Drosophila melanogaster: one gene and its partners. The protein of the gene in region 3 interacts with the protein of the main gene of each other region in a biochemical or structural test. Each region holds a gene or a part of one and is shown on either strand. Other genes may lie near its edges.

Region 1 (7,234 bases), on a different chromosome or scaffold from region 3:
TCCATGAATATGTTTAATTGTAATTACAAATTACTTGCAAATTTTCCACAGTTGAAAACTGCTAGTTGATTTAACGGATAGTATAAGAGCACTTCTTTGTTCACATCCTTTTTGGCCTAATGTATTTTTGCAATAATTTGTGCGCTGCGCCCTGCTTTTTATCATACTTTATGTCATTGAAAGATTATTATATTATAACCTAAATGTTTCGTGTGAGAATTACTCGACTTATATGGTATATTGCCCCTTCAACTATCGAAAGAAATGCAAACACTGCAAAACAAAAACACATTTATTGAGAATGAAAAACGGAATAAAAACTGTATTAAAAAGCGAATCAAAAATTGGGCTATGCTTTCAAGTAGATAAGTTAAATCGGATTGGTCGTCACACCGGAAAGAATCCTATTTCTCCTCCGACGATTGTCCACTTTTGCTTTCCCCCTTTTATTAAAACTCATCACCCATTTTTCATTAAATGTTTTATATTTTTCCTCTGATTTATGGAGGGGTACAACCGAAATTGCAATAAACTTTCAATTTTGCGTCAGTTATATATTTTATATTTGTATTTTATTAGGCCTTTAAATATCTAAGAATTAGTATTATTTGACGTGCACAGTTTACATTTACATAATTTTTCTTTTCTTGCTGTCCACTTCTTGTCGTTCTTTATTTTTCTTTTAGCAGTTAGAAAAGGTTTTTCAACTTCAATGTTCCCGAAATTCAATAACAATTTAAATTAAAACATTGCCTAGATTGAATGTCGCTCCGTGTCAAATTGTCTGCATGTCTGTCTGTTCATGTGGGTGGGTGCATACTTAAGGTCGAACGTACTAAGGTAAAATTGCGGAGCTCGAGAAACGTTTTGAACTGATTTTCTACGCGCAATCGAATACATGGAAAGGGCTCGAAAATACTTGACAATCAAAAATAGAATTGAAAAGTTTTGATAAAATATATATAGGATATTTGACAATAGACAATCGCACGCAGCTTGCCCAGACTTTATCAAAGTTTTCTTGTTGGCGCTTACAATTAGTGCTAGATATATAATTACAAAAACAATGCTGCAGCTTTAAATTTTCCATCATACATTTTGATTTGCATTGCCAGAGAAATCATCAACTAAACTCTATGTGTCGTGGAACACAACTTACTGATTATGATTGCAAAACATTGGCATGTATTATTATGCTCAACAGAACAGGAAAAAATTAAAGGACAATGGAGCGTTTGATTGGTATTATTGAAGTGTTGATAAACATATGTATATTTAAATAGGAATTATGGCTGCTTTATAGTCTCGCTTAAAAAATATATATTACTGAAACAGATATTTGGGGTGGTTGCCATTTAAGAAAATCCTATCGCCCGATTCGGTTCCACTCACAGCAAAGTTTCTAAAACAAAAGCAGCAAAATGTATTCCAGATGTGGGTCTGTATTTCTGTGTTGGGGTGTGTGTTGTGTGTGTGTGTGTGCTATTGAGAGGAGCGTAGAGGATCAGAGGATCGTCTATTTCGTGAACGCCATGAACACCGCCCACAGAATTTCGTTCGCATTCGGCTTGGCCGACTCGGCTTCGAAGTCGAGATCCAGCAGCTCCCGCACCCGCTTCATGGCCACCTCATAGTCGTCATCATTCAGCGGCGCGAAGGCGTTCTCGATCACATCGCTGGCGTGCGCCAGGAAGATAAGCGCCAGCATCCGCTTGTCCATGCGCTGTGGATCGTTGACCCACTTGGAGAGCACAGAATCTTGGATCTGAAGTCATACATTTCGGATTCAGTTTTAGAATTCTTGAATATATCCAAGTCTAGTTACGCACCTTCTTCACCAGGCGACATTTGACAACATTGTCGCTCAGCGGATGTGTCGTCATATCGAAGAGTAGAAAATTTTGCTTTTCCGTCGTGAGCACACCCTTCTCCACCAGATTTTTGGCCAGACGTTCGCGTACATTTTTCAGTTGGTAGCGCAATTTCAACGGATTCCAGGTTTCACCTGCCACAACAATAGGTTATACAAAACATACTTGGCGAAATGGCAGGCGCCTAAATACACACCACTAAGATATTCAATCCAGCTCTGCACCGTCTCCGGGGGATCTGTTTCCTTAATGTGTTTAAGTGCCTCATCGAGTAGAACGTCTCCCGTCTGCTGATCCGATTTCAGTATTAATTTCCTGTTGGCGAATTGAAGTTAGCATGCTTCTGAAAGGATGTGGAAACTAGATTTCTATACATACCTTGTACATAGACCACGTCGCCGCATTCCAGATTTCTCGATCATCACGCGACCTCGCAGTCCAAGCTCTATGAGAATGCATCCGCGCAAGCCGCTTGATATGCAGTCGTTCCAGAAAGATGTGTAGCCCTGAAAGTAATTAAAAATGCTATTAGATTCAAGCTATTTGATTGGCCTGGATGGGCATCTAAAAATAAGAATGTGTGAATGCGTTACTTGTTTATTTTTTAAAATTTTATTAAATTCTATCTAACATAAATGTAAGTACAAACTTCATTAACAAATGGTTACTGTCTCATGTTTCAAGGTTTTGAAATATATTTGAGCAAGTCTATGGTTTGGCCTTTTCACTTGTGTTGGGCGTAAAAGAAATGAATAATTACCCTGTTGCCGGGGTCGTAAAGCTCCCAGACGAAAGTATTCAGTTGTTAAAACATTAAACACTTGAGTTTGTTTAGGCCTTGCCCACAGAAGTGTATGAACTGTCAATTTAAAAAATACAATGCTTATCTAGCTAGTATAAATGAAAAAACGAACAAGAAGAGTTATGTTATAACCACATAAAAAATCAATTACAAAAATTACTCTTGTTATTAACGCTTGAAAAGCTATGATAATTGGAAGGTATAGATAGATACCTCAACCACGTTTCAATGCCATTTCACGATTTTAAAATAATTTATATAACAATCGCTCAGATGATTGATAAGGAATCGTTCCGAACGAAAGGTATAAAAGTGAATCATTTGCAAAGAACACGTCGCTTATCAGTTCGGCAGTTCGAGATATTGAAATTTTCCTAATGGATGGTGTGGGTAGAAGCCAAGTACTTTGTATAATTTCGAAAATGAGTGACGTACTGACATAAGAAAAGCCCGAAACGGATGAGAGCTAGGCAGAGGAGAGCAGCACTTGATAGTATGTACTTCCTCAAACAATTAACCAAATGGACAAAATCTTCGCGATAAGAGCGCTCGGAAGGGGAATGTAAAACAAAAGCGGGCAACACGTCCCACTGTTTCCAGCTCGTATCCCTCTTATGCGAAGGGAGAGGAGGTGGCAGGGATGGAGGTGTGGGTGGTCACACAAATACACTGCGGGCAAAATGATGAAAACAAATAGACGTGGTGCCAGCCACAAAGGCACATGTGTGCATTCCTATGTGGTACAAGCGAACAGCAATTGAGCGATAAAGCTGTGTGCCAAGTGAAATATAAAAACCGAATTCAATGGAGAAATGCGAATCTGCCTGTTCGCCATAATGGGTCACGTATGGATGATGGTTCGCATTTACGGACATCATCCCGCGCTATACGTAGATTTATGAATATTACAAACCTATGCAAATTAACCACTTATTGGAAAACTCGTTTGACGAAACCGTTCTCCGTGCTGCGCGGAGTGAAGTTCTCGAAGAGATATGTATGTATTTATAGCCACAACTGCCAACCGAAGAAGTATTAGAGCGCTATCTTTCCAACAACTAAGAACGTTGGCAACAATTCTAAGAATCTTTTTGATTTGGCACTGGAAGCAATTGCGCGATAGTGTAACACATAAAATAAACCTATTATATACTATATATAAATATATCATCACTTATTTGGGAAGTACATCAAAGTATTACAAAGGGCAAGTAATGGGTTCTATAGATTAGAATGAACGGCTGATTAGACCTTAACAGATGGAGCACACTATTAATTAATGCAAAAACAAAAGTGGTTAAGAAAATGGTGTTGGCAGTCTCACTGATTGCGCATTAGTCAGCAGGCTGGTCAAAAGATTTCATAGTGCATTGCTTAACAAACTGGAAAAGCTAAGAGAAGTGGCTAAGACATGGCATAAAATGTTTATCTGTAGGACAGATAAACATTGTTGCCCCCATAACTGAAGTGATAAGTTACCCCCCTGTATCCAATTTTCACTACGCCCCTGCTGGAAGATGGACTGCGTTGCACTTGGGGCCAAGCAAGAGGTTGCGAAAGAGAGAAATCGTGAGAGCGACAGAGAGAGAGAGACGTCGGTTAACAGGTGAAGAAGAAGCACTTATGTTGCGAAAGAAACCAATTAATTAGTGCATCCCAAGCAGATAAGAGATAAGGAGCACACCCACCTCCTTGTCCTTGAGTCCCAGCAGCAGAACCTCCTCCATGAGCGTTAGTCGTGTTTCCTTGGAGTCGCCATCGTCGATATTGTCCTCCTGGTCCTTTAGGTTGTCCAGTGCATCCTGGTTGTCGTCCGGCGTGTTGGCATTCAACCCACCCTCCGCCCCACCGTTTTCGCGGGGTTTCACCGAGCGACGCACCAATCCGTCGGAGCGATTCATTCCGGAGAGTTGGGTTGGGTAGTCGGGAAGTTCGGATCGATGGAGTTTTGGAGATGTGGGATGCGAGCGGAGCACCTATGTTTTTCTGCTGCTGCTCTTCTTCCTCTTTCCTCGTTTTGTGTGTGTGGCACAATTTGCTGACTCGACGTTGGGAGTTTCACAGTGTGTGTGTGTGTCTGTTTGCGCGAGTGCGGGTGTTTGCGTTTTTCTCTGTGTACTTGTGTCTTGTGTTTTTGTGTGTTGTTGTTTTCACTGACTCTTTTGCGCCCCCTTTATTTTGTATTCTTTTGCACACACGCACTTTTCACACTATCGCAAAAATGCAGGCCCTAAACTGCGTTTCGTTGTTGCTGCTTTGCTCGGCGTTTTTGCGCTGGGAACTCGACGGTTTGATTTACAATTTGGTGGCCCGTACTAATGGTGCATTTGCATTGGCCTTGCATTTACTGGGAATATGCGAGTGCCTGCGCGAAATAAGCTTTTTCCTATTATTTGTGTCTTTTGTCGACGTTCCGACGTGACATGATTTCCGCACTTTTCAGTACTGGCAATTTTCCAGACCTTAAGTGTTGGATAACGTTTTGCTTCTAGAGGTGCTGTTAAAACGAAATTAATTTAACTTTTACTCTTAATTTTTTGTAATTCAGCTTAATTTATTTAATCGTAAAGTTTTTGTTTGAATGATATTACAGTTCCTTGTCCATACTAAGGGTTTGGTAATGTTATGAATCCGAACCGATAGTTTGTCCGATAGTTGTAATCGCTGTATGACTCATCTCTAACGGAAACACAAAATAAAACCTACTACAATTTGTTGCATTTTGCCTAAATTCGTCACAAACACTGCCGTTAAAACGTTTATAATGTCCTACTTGACCAATTTCAACAGTGATACTGCCAAGCAAATTCTTATGGACATAATACGCTGTGTAAATCAGCCGGAAAACTCGAAGAAACTCTCAGAGGCAAAGGCTTCCGCTGGAAAAGAGATGATTCTCATGATGCAGCACGTAAATACCAAGCAAATCAAAACAAATAACCAAATAGTTTAACATAATACATTGCAGGTTTTTCCATTGGTGATGCAACTCCAACTGGAGGTCATTAAGGGTCATGGGTTTCCTGGAAACCGCGAGGGATTAGTCCAGTTCTCCCAGCTCATCAGAGAAATGGAAAGGGACGACATGGAAATCGTACGCCTGCGCAGTCAGATCCGCGCCATATACCTGCCCCCCATAGCTATAAACACCACCAACGACATCCTAATCTAAGCGTGGGGTAAATCCCCCAAACAAGACTGCAATTCTGCCCCCCGGTGGGTTTTTTAATATACTTTAAGCGACTTTTAATATTTGTAGCCCTTTTCATTTGAAGAAACTATATTCATTTTCAATTATGCCTTAACGTCATCTAGAAAATCTTATTTTCAAAGAATATTGAAATACTTCTCTAATACAGATTTCTGAAACAGGCCACCAAAATAGACTTAAGCTTGATATTCTTATAAAATGCATTTCTTTTGATAAGTTTGTGATCTTTTTTGTGTATTTTTTGTTGATGTACAAATGTTTTTCTTGTTCTTGCTAACAATAAGTAACATGGCAAAGGTTGCTATAAACAATTAAGGATCTGTGCCGTTCCATCGTCAGCTTTTAGGATCTAGGATATGTCGATCAGTCACGGCGATAAATTAAACAGTTTTCTTTCGTACCTATACAATAAGTTCCTTAAGAGCTATACTTTTATGTACACGTCAAGTAGTGAGCTGCTCGTCCAGCCTTCATCTTATAAACAATTAGGCGAGGATAATTAGTAACAATGTGAAATCCTAATGCGCGCTAGCACCATTTGTGGTGCTGGCATTATTGTTATTCCCGTTTTCGAGGTCTGTAGCCGTCAGTTTAGCCGGATTAATGTTTTTTATGTCGTTTCCGTTCAGTTTATGCTGCAAATGCTGCAGCTGCTGGGCGAGGTGCTCGTTCTCCGCCTGCGTAATGCTGTCAACATCAATGGACATCGACATAGGTGAGTGGGGCGTAAGCGGAGTCACTGGATTGCTGACGCACAACTCCTCAATGGTGGAGTCGCTGTTACTTGAGGGCGTCGAGGAGCGTGACCGCACTGGATACGAATCGTCCAGGGGCAGAGCAAAGCCCTGGGTGATCATCAGATCGGCAATATTTAGTTCAGAGTTGTCGGCTGGATCGAATAGTTCCACTCCGGGCAGCGGGGTTCCCTCCTTGGCAGCAGCACTTACAGCGGTGGTTGCCCGTGGACGCTCCTTGTAGGTCACCACTCGAGCAATCAGCTTTCTCCAATGTGCCACTACAAATGTTCGGTGTTTAGTCAAAAATATATCTAGCAACTGTTGCTGAAATCATACCCTCTGTCAGCTCTTCGAACTTTGCGATTGAAGACTTTGGCCACGTAATAGGCTCCGTCTGGATGGTAGATTTTACATTGGCCAAGAAGCATTCAACGGCTTGGAACCTAAAATAGTGAAATATAAATTTATGTCTATCCAATCAGTCGAACTGCTTACCTGAGCGTGAGGAAATCAGTGCGCAGCTCGCAGATATCAGCTGGCGAAATATATTCGCTATCTCCATAGTCCACGAAGTAGAGATCGATCACCTGCTCCTTTGGATTGTACTGGTTAG
Region 2 (4,593 bases), on a different chromosome or scaffold from region 3:
ATCAGAGAAAGTTGTAATTGTTTTGGAAGCGCAAACAAAATAAAAAGTAAACTCAATAATAAATAAATGAGAGCAAACTTATTCATCAAATATGAAGAGTGCTATGTAGTATTAAATGCAGTTTTTATCGGGACTGGTTATGAACTTTGTATTGTATGCACATAAATAATCTTGCGATATAAGCACAAGTTCGTATTCGCAATAAAAGATAAGCATAAAGAATATCATATACACTTTTGGGAGACACCTTTACGGTATATTTTTACATATATAGAGTAGACGTTGACTCACTTTTCGGACACGATTTTCTGATTCATAGACGCCTGGATCGAGTTCTCTAATTCGCGATACCCGTACTCTCACCTTGCTTACGTAACTGAGACCAGAGATAGCCGACTTCATTAGTCATTTATAATTTTTTATCAAATTCACCTGCACATAAAGTTTCCCTTGCTAATCTAATTATCAAATGGGGCAAGGCTACTAATTTATTTTTAAATTGCTACAAAGCTTTTCTCACTAATTTCTATCGTAAAAAAAGGCCCCTTTGTTTTTTTAATAAAGCAATTATCATCTAATCGATAAGTGACGCTTTGATGTGGATTGGTATGAGATTAGAAAGTTTGGGGCTCGAAAAACAAATCCGTAGCACGCAAATGACCATATTTTTAAGTTAACTGACGCGTGTGGAATTGTTTACAAAAAACATCTGTTAGGACACACGTTTTTGGTTAAATAGACTTTGCGACATCGACGCGGTGCCTATTCTTTGTCTATTGTTTGGCGTCATCAACTTGAAAACATCTCTTTAGATAAGAAATTTTGCACGCGCAAAATAAAAAAAAAAGAAGAACGCCAAATGCTCATTGATAAATCATTGGCAAATCGAAGGCAAAAAAACAACAAAGTCGACTTGTCGAAAGAGGAAGTCGAGCATAAAAACATTGAGAAAGAAGGCAAAAATAGGCGGAGCAAAATATTTCGCGTTTTTTTGTATAATGTAGCATGCGGTTTTTCGTAGAATTCTTAACCGGTTTCGGTACAGTTTTGTATTTGGTTTATAGAGCCGCACTAAAGATTGTTTATAGACAAAGTGAATATCTCCTACACATTTTCCCATACCTATACATATGTACTTTCGGACATTATCGACGAATCCAATCTAGTCACATGCCGTCTGTCTTCTGGGTTCGAAATCAAATTGTTGTTAATGACTTTGCGCCGCGTGTGGCGTCTCTCCCACTAAGTTTTGCATTTAAAAATAGGAATTATTGTAGGTCTACACCGGGATTTTCCTTTGTCTATGTAGGGGGTATTCTCACAATGGACGTACCATTCGATTGATCGCCCTGGATAAAGGTGTTTTTAACTTGAATAACCATTTTATACTTATATACTCATATACATAAATATATTCTCCTATTGATCACGGTTTGGAAACATTGTGTTTTTCACTATACTCATCCGATTTGAGTTTTTATTTTTACAGACTCGTATTATTTCCTGCCCATTTAAGGCTATTAGGCGAGTGTGCGACTATTTTGCGCAGTTGAATGAGCAGCATATGAATCTTGATTTATGCAAAAACTGCGACTTGCGCTTCAAGACACTTTTCAATTGTCTGGCTTACACAATAATATATAAAATACTCGAAATAGAAACAAAGGCGTGTTTGTTTTTTGTTGTTGCTGCTTTGGCTTGCGTGTGCGCTTTGGTATTTCCATTTATTAAATTTGTATGCATACCTCCTCCTCTCTCCCAAAAATGCGAAGAGATGAGCAAAGAAGAAGGGGCGAAAGATAAAGAGCAATAACCAAGTTGCACTTGAATCTCATTTAGGTACCGAGTTCAAATCCGTTGCGGGTAAAAAGAAAAAAAAAACCAGTTTACTTGGAAGTGCGTGGGATTATTTGACACCCTTTGTGATCCCTTTTTTCCTGCACTTTGTATTGTTTTCGGTTTTACAATGCATATTGAATAGTTCGTCGGAAAAGGAAACTTGCAATTTGCTTAAATGGCTCGTAAATTGATTTTCTGTGTTGGTTTTTGCTGTTGTATCGTTTTTGAAAACCAACAAAGCGTAAAAAAGGTTCACGCAATAAATGAGTAACGAAATGCAATGCAAAAACGCCTGTTTCCTATTTCCAAAATACAGTGCTCTATGTTTTTTGCTTGTAAGTTGTAAACATATTTTTGTATGAAAATCTAGGTGCACATTTATCACTTTGGTACAGTGGATACCCTCGGTCTTCACAATTCACCGAATCGGGTATGCACTGTACCAACAAAAACTGCACTGCAAAGAAGAGCAGGTGATAGAGAGAACTAGCAAGCAAACCAAAAACAAAGCAGCCTGAATATTGTTATTGTCATTAAAATACCGTTCCATTCAGTGCCAGGTACGAAAGAGAGAGGCATACAATGAGAGAGAGAGGGGGAGAAAATAGGAAGGACAGCAGGCAAATTGCCGAAGGAAAATCACCTGAATTTGGGGATCCAGCTCGCCGTCTTCTGCACTCGACATTTTTACTGGTTTTCACTGAATTCGTTCCAAATGCAAATATATCGCTAAACGCGTTAATTTTCACTTTTCTGCAGCCCGCTTTTCAATTGAAAAACGCTTTTGCATTTCACTATTTGATCTCGTTGCTACACAGACACATCCCACGACTATCAATTTGCTTGTGTGTTTTGTTTTTCTTTTTTTTTTCTGTGTTTTTTTCTATAATATTATGTAAATTGGTGTTGGCAATTTTAACTGGCAATTTGCTATGCGGGTACAGCAGCAGTATTAAAACAAATATTTCATTTTGCGTCTTATGTTTCACAACGAAGTTAAAAGCGAAAAGGGAAAGGGACACATGGCGATTACATTAAGTGTGAACAAGACGAACGGTACAAGTGGACAGGGCACGCGGCTTTTCACCTTCTCCTTCGCTCGGGGCATCTAAGATATTTAATTAACTCGCTTATAAAGGCTAAACTATCCTAAAAATTAAAGACGCGTCCAGACGCGACGAAATGAGAAGCTGAATTCGGTGTGACCGCAGCGCGGTGTTACCAGATAGTGAAATGCTGACCAGCAGTTGCTGAAATAAACATTTGGTATTTTTATTGTATTGGTATATTTCATTACAACGCTGGCATTGTTGCCAACTATTTTCAAGAAAAATAAACAATTAAAAAAATGTTTGATTTTCATTGCACCAGTTTGATAATGTAACAATTTATATTTAAAAAAATGCTAAGTTAACATATTAGTCTTCAAAATTACTCTTGGCGGGCTTGGTATTTTCTCTTACCATTACGTCATATGCCTCATCTACATAACCATCACATCACGTTACGTAGTTGATTCACTTCGTAACGTTATGAATAATTAAAAAAATTTTGTTTCAAAAAGGATTTTTGTTAAAGTTGCTAAATACGTATTAATGAAATATAAATAAATAGGTCTGACTAAGTAACAAAATATGCATTAAAACCAGAAACATTTTACTATGAAAGTTTACTTTATTTGTTATTTGTTTTCATCATTTTTGTTTTGCCCTTTATGTGCTTTACATGTTTGTGATTTTTTCGTATTTAATTTGTTTACTTTTCCTTATATGCGTTTATAAATCGAATACTCCAATTTCCTCTAATGATATGCGCACCAAACATATTTTTAACTGAGCGCAATTAACAGAAAACCGAAAATACTCTCAAAAAACAAAATTTTCACTAAAAGATTTTTATTTATGTAAATTATAAAGAAGAAGGCAATTCAGTTGTATACCACGGAATTTCATACGTTATTCAGCATCAATGCCCGATTAAACATAATTTATAAAGATGGATTCGTTTCCTTCTTTTATTTTTGATTTCTTAATTTAACGCTAATATAAGATTTATATTTTATATAATGCATCTTTTTACTTTGTATGGAATAACACTTAATTATACATTCATTTCATATAGTTTGATTTTAGTTGTAATCATAACAAAAAGAAACATTTCTGTGCAGCGTGATTTGAAAAAAATGAACAAAGAACTAAGGTACAAAATTCTAGAATAATACAATTTGAAATTGTCTGAATGGGATCTTTAAATAGTAGTTCTTGCCTGACTTTCATTGTGTTTGTTTAAGAGTGTGCCGTGTGGTTTATTTGTTGATTCCTCCTCTGTCGTATAGTATCAAACCACTAAATACTTGTCCATATAAATGATTTCGTTTAAATATTTATTTATATATCGAATTATATATATTTTATGCTATATAATAACTATGCAAGTTCTGCATATATGCATGTTGCGCTTCATTTACCATTCTTTTACTTGGTTATTTTCATTTTGTATTGTTAACACTCATAGTTTCGGGAATGGGAGGAGAGTTTAGGAAAAGTACAAAAGTATACATGGTTTGTCCAAAGCTTTTCAGTTGTAGTTGCTTTTTACTACACAGTGTGCATATCGAAATGATACAGAATACGATCCAATATAAATGCTTCTCCACACGCAATTGGAATAAGAAATACAAAAACAAATTGAACTTAACTAAGTTGAAGTACATAAAACATTACAAGATACACCACAACTTCTAAATTCAGCTAC
Region 3 (6,860 bases):
TATCCAGTATAAACTAAGCGATGAAACAAACAAACCTTGAAAGTCAGGGAAGGACCGCGCGGCAAGCGGACCACTTTGAAGGACAGCTGCGTGGAGGCCTTGTTGAAGATGCCCATGTGCGAGACGTGGAAGAAGCTGCTCAGGCTGACAAAGTCCTTGATGCGGTTCATCCGCTTCTCGCGCAGATTGCTGGCCGTAAAGGGCTCCATAATGCGGCGGAAGTCCAGGGTGAGGTCCGTGATGTACGGACAGGCGAGGCCGCGATGGATGACGAAGGAGTGCGGCGCCTCCACGATCTCGCTCGGCTCGCTGGCCTTGAAGGCCGCCGTGCGCGTCTTCGGATGCACTTTCTTCTTACCGCCCATGTTTCAATGTTTTTGTTCACTTTTCTCCCGCACGTGTATGGATCAGTGTGGCTGCTCGCGCGGAAAATACCAAACACCCACTCCGACGTCTGCCTTTGGTCACTCTAATCCCATTTTAAATTTCGATTTTCCGCCCAATTGAAAGCACTTCTGTTTTATTTAAATTATATTTATTTAATCACACTTAACATAGCAAACACAAATGATGTTATTTCGTTTCATTTATGCATTTAAAGTTTTACAACTGTTTTTGTTTGATTTCTCTTTATCAGCTAGTTTTACCAAGTGGCCAATCGTTTAAAATGTTGCGAGAAACCGAAGAAGAAAATCCGAGCTGCAGTGCTGTGGTAATGAATTTGCGTTTAAGTCGAAGAATTTCCGGTTGTTTGTTGTTGTTCTGCTCGCGAAATTACAACTATATATTTATGTTGCGAAAAATTAATAATATTAATATTTTAATATTAGCATATATGTATATTTATATAAATTATAGTTCTACAGCTTAAACTGAATTTGGAGTGTTTAGTTTTGCTTGCTTTCTTTCCGCGGCGGTCGATTTATGCGATACTCATGGATCTGTATATATATAAAACTTCAGTTTAAACCGCAGTTAACTACAGCCGGATGTTGTTGCTTTCGATTCTTTTGCTGCTGCTGCTGCTTCTGATGATGGTGGTGGTGTTGGTGGTGGAGAGTGGCGGCTCAGATTTGAATTATCAATTTATGCGCACATGACAAACTGTGGCTGACAAACGCATAGACATCTTGTGCGGTCCATCGGGTGTACGCTGCTCCTGATCTTGGTGTTGCAGTTCTGGCCGCTGCTGCTCCTCTTGTAGTCGTAGTTGTAATTGCTGTTGCTTCTGTTTATGTTGCTGTTCTGGCGGTTGCGGGGAATAGCGAAAATTGCTTGGGGCGGTCACTGACAGCACTGTTTGCGCACATCGGCGGTGACAGTCGGCTTTACGTCGATGGGCTCCACGTTCGACGGGCGGATGACGTCGCCTTCCGGCGGATCTCTGATCTGTTTCTGCGACACAATGCGATAGATCTCTGAAACGGGATTACGAGACATCATTAGTCGTGCTTCGTTATCATTAATCTATTGACTTTCAATGAAGCGTTTAATCTACAGTATTTAAATATTCTTAAACGATCGATAATTTGAAAGCAGACTAGCTAAAATATCCTGAACGACCCACCTGTGAGTATGTTCTGGAATGCCGTTTCAACGTTCGTTGAGTCGAGGGCCGAGGTTTCTATGAAACTCAAGCCGTTGCGCTCGGCAAACAGCTTCGCCTCGTCCGTGGGCACGGAGCGCAAGTGCCGCAAGTCGGACTTGTTGCCCACCAGCATGATGACGATGTTCTGGTCGGCATGGTCGCGCAATTCCCGCAGCCACCGCTCCACGTTCTCGTAGGTCAGATGCTTGGCAATGTCATAGACGAGCAGGGCCCCCACGGCACCGCGGTAGTAGGCAGAGGTGATGGCGCGATAACGCTCCTGGCCGGCCGTATCCCAGATTTGCGCTTTAATTGTTTTGCCATCGACCTGCGTTGGATGCACAAGAAGGATGAAACAAAGGACAGCATTAGAATGGTGCCAGTAATTGGCAATTTCGCCACGAAATGCCTGCGGCGCATTCGCTTTGAAAATTAATATACAAGCACTGGCATTCAGTATTCACACATAACCAACATAAATTAGAGCTTATGGATAAGCTTTTAACTCTAGTAAGAGAACCCAATTTTTGAAATTTCTTACACTAGTTAGAAAAAACGCAAGTAGCGTAAGTTATATTCATTGAACCCATTTGATATACTAAATATTAAGATGACCTACTAAGCTACTTCGAAAAGATGGCACAAAGTATTGTTTAACACAAATCCTTATACATACGTAATATATAATTGTTATTGACCACATAAATTTATTATTTCAGCACAAGTGACAACTATGATGTCAACATTTTGGCTAATCCCGTAGGATGGCTTTTGAAATTATGCAAGAAAGCCAATTGGCAATCCATTATTTAGTGAAATTCTCGACACTTACTCAAATTGAACAAACTTTTCCCCCCAATTTTCCGATAGACGCCTCAACTACGTGTCCTCCCACCGAAACGCACACGCAAGTTCACCCGTGACTTCCCCCACTGTGGGTGCGGTGCGGTAGATGTGTGGGGGTGGAGCTCCATGGGCCACTCCACCCTCGAATTCTTGGCCAGCGTACTCACCTCTATGCTGCGCGTTGCAAACTCAACGCCAATCGTCGACTTGGACTCCAAGTTGAATTCATTGCGCGTGAAACGTGAGAGCAAATTACTTTTGCCAACACCGGAGTCACCGATAAGGACAACTGCAAAGGATTAGAGGGAATTAGTGACATCGACATTGGCATTGGATAATCGAAGACCCCCAGTTGCATAATTTATGTGGGTGTGTGGTGTGGCGTGGCGTGGCATGGCCCCTGTCTTGTGTTTTACGGCCGGACAGAATGGTCGCTGGTGGCCCGGCTAGGTCATGTCCTCCTTTCGCCGCTGGCACGGCGCACCAAGGTCAGCGAGTACATAAAACCGCCATGCTCGGGGGATTTCAGGCCATGGAAAGAAATGTTTTATGATTGGGCCAGTCGACGTTAGGGAGTTCGTGTTATTGTGCTTCATTGCCGATAGCAAACATTTCTTGGATAATTGAGTGGCGGATATTTGAGGGAGCAAACAAGCATCCCAAGTTGATATGCTACCCGATAAAAACTATCCACTGACCTTTTTACGACTCCATTTCTTTTTGATAAACTTTCTTATGTGCGGCCAGAGTTGTTGGCTATAATATATATTAACTGATATCTAGACACTGTGTTTACTGACTGTCTGTCTATTAGTTTCCATTTTTGACACCCTTTTCGGACATTGTTGATTCAGCATGTTTGCTAATCCATTCAGAAAACAACAACTATAACTCATCAAACACCTTTTCGCTCTATCGCTATGGTCATCGCTGCACGGAGAAAATTCAAATAGTAAAATGGTATCATATGAACACTGATTCTTGAGTTCGAAGTTTCGATTGCAATGCCATTAAGATAGGAACTAAATATTTGAAACGACTTTTGAGCTAAGTCCAAGTTTTTGACTTAATTTAGATAGCTAAATTAGAGGGTATAGGGTTTTCTTTCAGTGTGGACAGCTGGGAGCAGCGTGGTTACAGTTATCAGCGAGAGAGCTGAGTCACTTTGTTTTCTACTCTCTTTCTCAGCGCTAATAACGATCTTTAAAGAGAAATTGCACTTAGTTAAGCGGATGCGATGAGAAATTAAAAGGGGAGGAGTGGTAATCGACGGTCATTACTTAGTAGTGGGATTGGCTCGAATAACCCGAAACGGCCCATTTTCAGTTATGTGATTATGCGCTTATCGGTGAGTGGAATTCTTCAGCAGTTATTGGCTGTGAGTCATGTCCGTTTAATATTGTTTCATGTGTGAAATTTGAGGCCTCATCATGCATACCGCACACTGACGCATTATTATGATGACTTTTTTTTTAACTTTTTGTATACTTGACCCAAAAAATACGGCAGATTAAGTTTTAAATATTTTTTTAATGACATTCAACAGTTGCTCAGCTGTGATAGCTAGCAGAGATTTCCAAGCGCAATTGGAATTTATGGCGTAGTAGCAAACGAAGGGAACAAAGAAGAGCTGAGAATTTGTGACCTCTGTTCATACATATCTACACATAAACGGGGGAAGATGCGGGATAAAAGTCTTGTTTTCTACCTGCAAATACATCATTTTGCTCTACTGTGCTTCAAACTTTCAATCGAGAGCGGGTGAAAAAGAGAGCGCGCGTGAGAGAGAGCTACTAAACGAAGTTACAAGAAACCATTGCAAAAGCCAGCTGTACAGAAATCATAATACCCACACTCTCGCTCTATTTACTGGATATCTAATCACTTTAGCATTTCGAGTGGGTGGGCAAGCCTTAAACCTACTTTACAGAGCGAGCGATTATAAATACGATCTGCTTGGCTTTTGTATGCAACGTGGCGAGACCAACGGCACTGTAATGACAAAACAAGCAGTTAACGGCAAAGTACGCGTACTCCAGTCCGAAAGAGTACCCCAAAGAGATGGAGATAGGCAGAGTGAGAGCGGGAGAGCCACCAAAGGGCATCCAACTGCAGCAGTAGCAACAACAACAAACTCGGGGGGCGTACTTCTTATTTTGGGAATTAATGACACTCACGCAAACAAACACACCACATACCATCACATGAACTTTGGGCTCTTCGAGTGCACTTTTTGTTATTCTCCAATTAGTTTCAATTAGTGCTATTGAACCACTGTCTCTCACGGCAGGGAGAGGAGAGCCTGGAAGTGCGGCTCCTCCCCTCCTGATCAACCTTCCGCGATCTTCGACCAGCGGCTAGTATCATGTTTATAATTACCTTTGAACAGATAATCGTACTCGTCTTCTCTTGCACCCATTTTGCTCAATTTGTTTTGCTATCGCTCGCTCGGTTCGATATCCTTTGGAAATCCAGTTCCGTCCTTTTTGTTTTGTGTGTGCGGGTGCTAAACGAAATCCAATAATCCCTGCGCGCCGCCGATTTCTTTAATGCGTTTGTCGTCGGCTCACACACTTTACACTTTTATTTGCAGTTGTAGTTGTAAAGAAAGAGAAAAGTGTATATATCAGTATTTAAGTGGCGAAATCGGTTGCTCTTCCAGCTCGGATGCGTTCGAAAATGCTGGCAGGACTTTTCCGGCAATTGGAGCAGTATTAATTGGAGATTTGCAGCTGCTTGCAGCGCATTTATTTGCAATTTTCTCTTACACGAAAACTTAGTCACTCCCAATAACGTCACGTTATATTTCCAACGAGACTAGAGATGTTGAAAAATATCGGTACATCGACATTATTTCGGCGATACTTATCGATTTTCTTAATGGCGATGTAAGGCGATAGTACAATGTCACTTCTATTTTTGTTTATATGAACATTGTTTTATACTCAAAAGCTTTAGAATTAGAATTAAATTTTTTCATAATTAAAACACATTAGGTCTAGAAAATAAATCTAATGTTTGTTTCCTATTTAAAAAACTTATTTGTTTTATTTTAAAACACCAACATACTTATATCATTATCGATGTTTTCACATCGACTTGCATCACTAAATTAACGAGATGGATGTTTTAGAGTTACCAGACGGTACGACGAATTATCATGAACTGCTCTCGTTTCATCCCGACAAGCCTATCGTATTTTAAAAAAGCTGAACACATTTTCTAGGGATTATCCCTAGCCCATTTAACTTATTTCCAACTCAAAATGTCTTGAATACTTAAAACGTTCCAACCTAAACAGAATCGTTCTCCCAGTAGCAGTAACTGTTTCTAATATTATCTTATTAAAAAAATTAATTAAATAGAAAACATTTCGATCCCAAGTAAAAACCCCCTGCTTACAAATCAGAGTAAAAATGTGTTTATTTTAATATAAAATACTTGTAAAAAACGATAAATTAAGTATAATGTGCAGCTAATACTTCCGTTGATCTCTAGTGAGTTTAAAAACTCTATTCCTATTGCACTTAAATGCGAGCGCGTTGCAAGGCCATGGCTGGATAAATGAGCAGAAGTCCGCCGGCTATATAGGTGATCCTGGAGCCAACGCACCAGAAGGCTATTAAGGATTAAAGAGTTTAGAAAAGGTATAATCCTAAGACAGCTGAGGAGCTCACCAATGCATCCCACCACGGGGCCCAGAGCTCGAGCCAAAGCTCCCAGTGAGCGGAATATGCCCAGTACTGAACCCTTCTGGTCATCGTTTCCGTATTTGGATACGAGGGTGGTCAGACAGGTGACAGCGAAGGCTGTGGAGATTGCGAACAGGGTCATGCCGGCGTACAGCATCCGACTGCCCTCGGCTAGGCCGACTACTACGAAGGCGGGTACAATCAGGTACAAACTGAAGATGGCATAGCCTTTGATCTTCGCCTCGGGCAGCCGTCGGACCACCGATCCCTGCAGCAAAGTCATGATTACACCTAGAAAAAGACACAAATTTGATAGGGAATATTGTAGATTATCAACTTGCTCCATACCCGTTGTCAAAAACATCTTCGCCTGATCCATCGAAGTGTAACCGAATTTGTGGTACATCAGAAATGTGACGGTGAACTCCAAGCCGGAATACAGAAAGAGATACAAGAAGTATACCAGGCCAATGGATCGCAGTGCCGCAATGTCTTTCTTAGGCACATTTTTGATGGCAGCAAATCTGTCAGTGGGAGAATTCTTTTGAAATATGATTGTAAAATCCAGACATAATCATTGGTAATAATCTTCTAGCTAACTGGACTCAATTCCCTGTAACTACAATTAATCAAAAGCAATCTAGAATTTACTAACTGATAAGGCAATCAAACAAACGTGTCCGAGAACCCGGCATGATAATAGTGTCTATCAAACCAGTCAGGCAAGTCCGGGT

The links. Proteins that work in one complex are often made in the same cells at the same time.
Region 1: the proteins of Rab11 (region 3) and sau form a complex in vitro, tested with the Drosophila melanogaster proteins (one study listed by BioGRID).
Region 2: of the proteins of Rab11 (region 3) and pcs, one has a biochemical effect on the other in vitro, tested with the Drosophila melanogaster proteins (one study listed by BioGRID).

Annotation. Positions count from the first base shown.
Region 1 is NT_033779.5:2,224,409-2,231,642, reverse strand, and holds sau (sauron), read right to left. Parts: upstream 5,302-7,234; 5' UTR 4,575-5,301; coding exon 4,362-4,574; exon of another isoform or gene 4,338-4,361; intron 4,280-4,337; exon of another isoform or gene 4,039-4,279; intron 2,378-4,038; coding exon 2,250-2,377; intron 2,187-2,249; coding exon 2,068-2,186; intron 2,006-2,067; coding exon 1,830-2,005; intron 1,766-1,829; coding exon 1,517-1,765; 3' UTR 544-1,516; downstream 1-543. Other genes in the region: CG15387 (uncharacterized protein), read left to right, coding at 5,438-5,584, 5,642-5,845; papi, read right to left, coding at 6,403-6,899, 6,958-7,064, 7,117-7,234. UniProt on the Drosophila melanogaster protein: Phosphatidylinositol-4-phosphate-binding protein that links Golgi membranes to the cytoskeleton and may participate in the tensile force required for vesicle budding from the Golgi.
Region 2 is NT_033778.4:14,979,713-14,984,305, reverse strand, and holds the start of pcs (parcas), read right to left. Parts: upstream 3,044-4,593; 5' UTR 2,525-3,043; coding exon 2,483-2,524; intron 1-2,482.
Region 3 is NT_033777.3:21,109,809-21,116,668, reverse strand, and holds Rab11 (Rab11), read right to left. Parts: upstream 5,262-6,860; 5' UTR 4,854-5,261; coding exon 4,814-4,853; intron 2,724-4,813; coding exon 2,602-2,723; intron 1,917-2,601; coding exon 1,568-1,916; intron 1,419-1,567; coding exon 1,285-1,418; 3' UTR 523-1,284; downstream 1-522. Other genes in the region: ppan (peter pan), read right to left, coding at 36-365; rtet (tetracycline resistance), read right to left, coding at 5,962-6,053, 6,112-6,417, 6,475-6,650.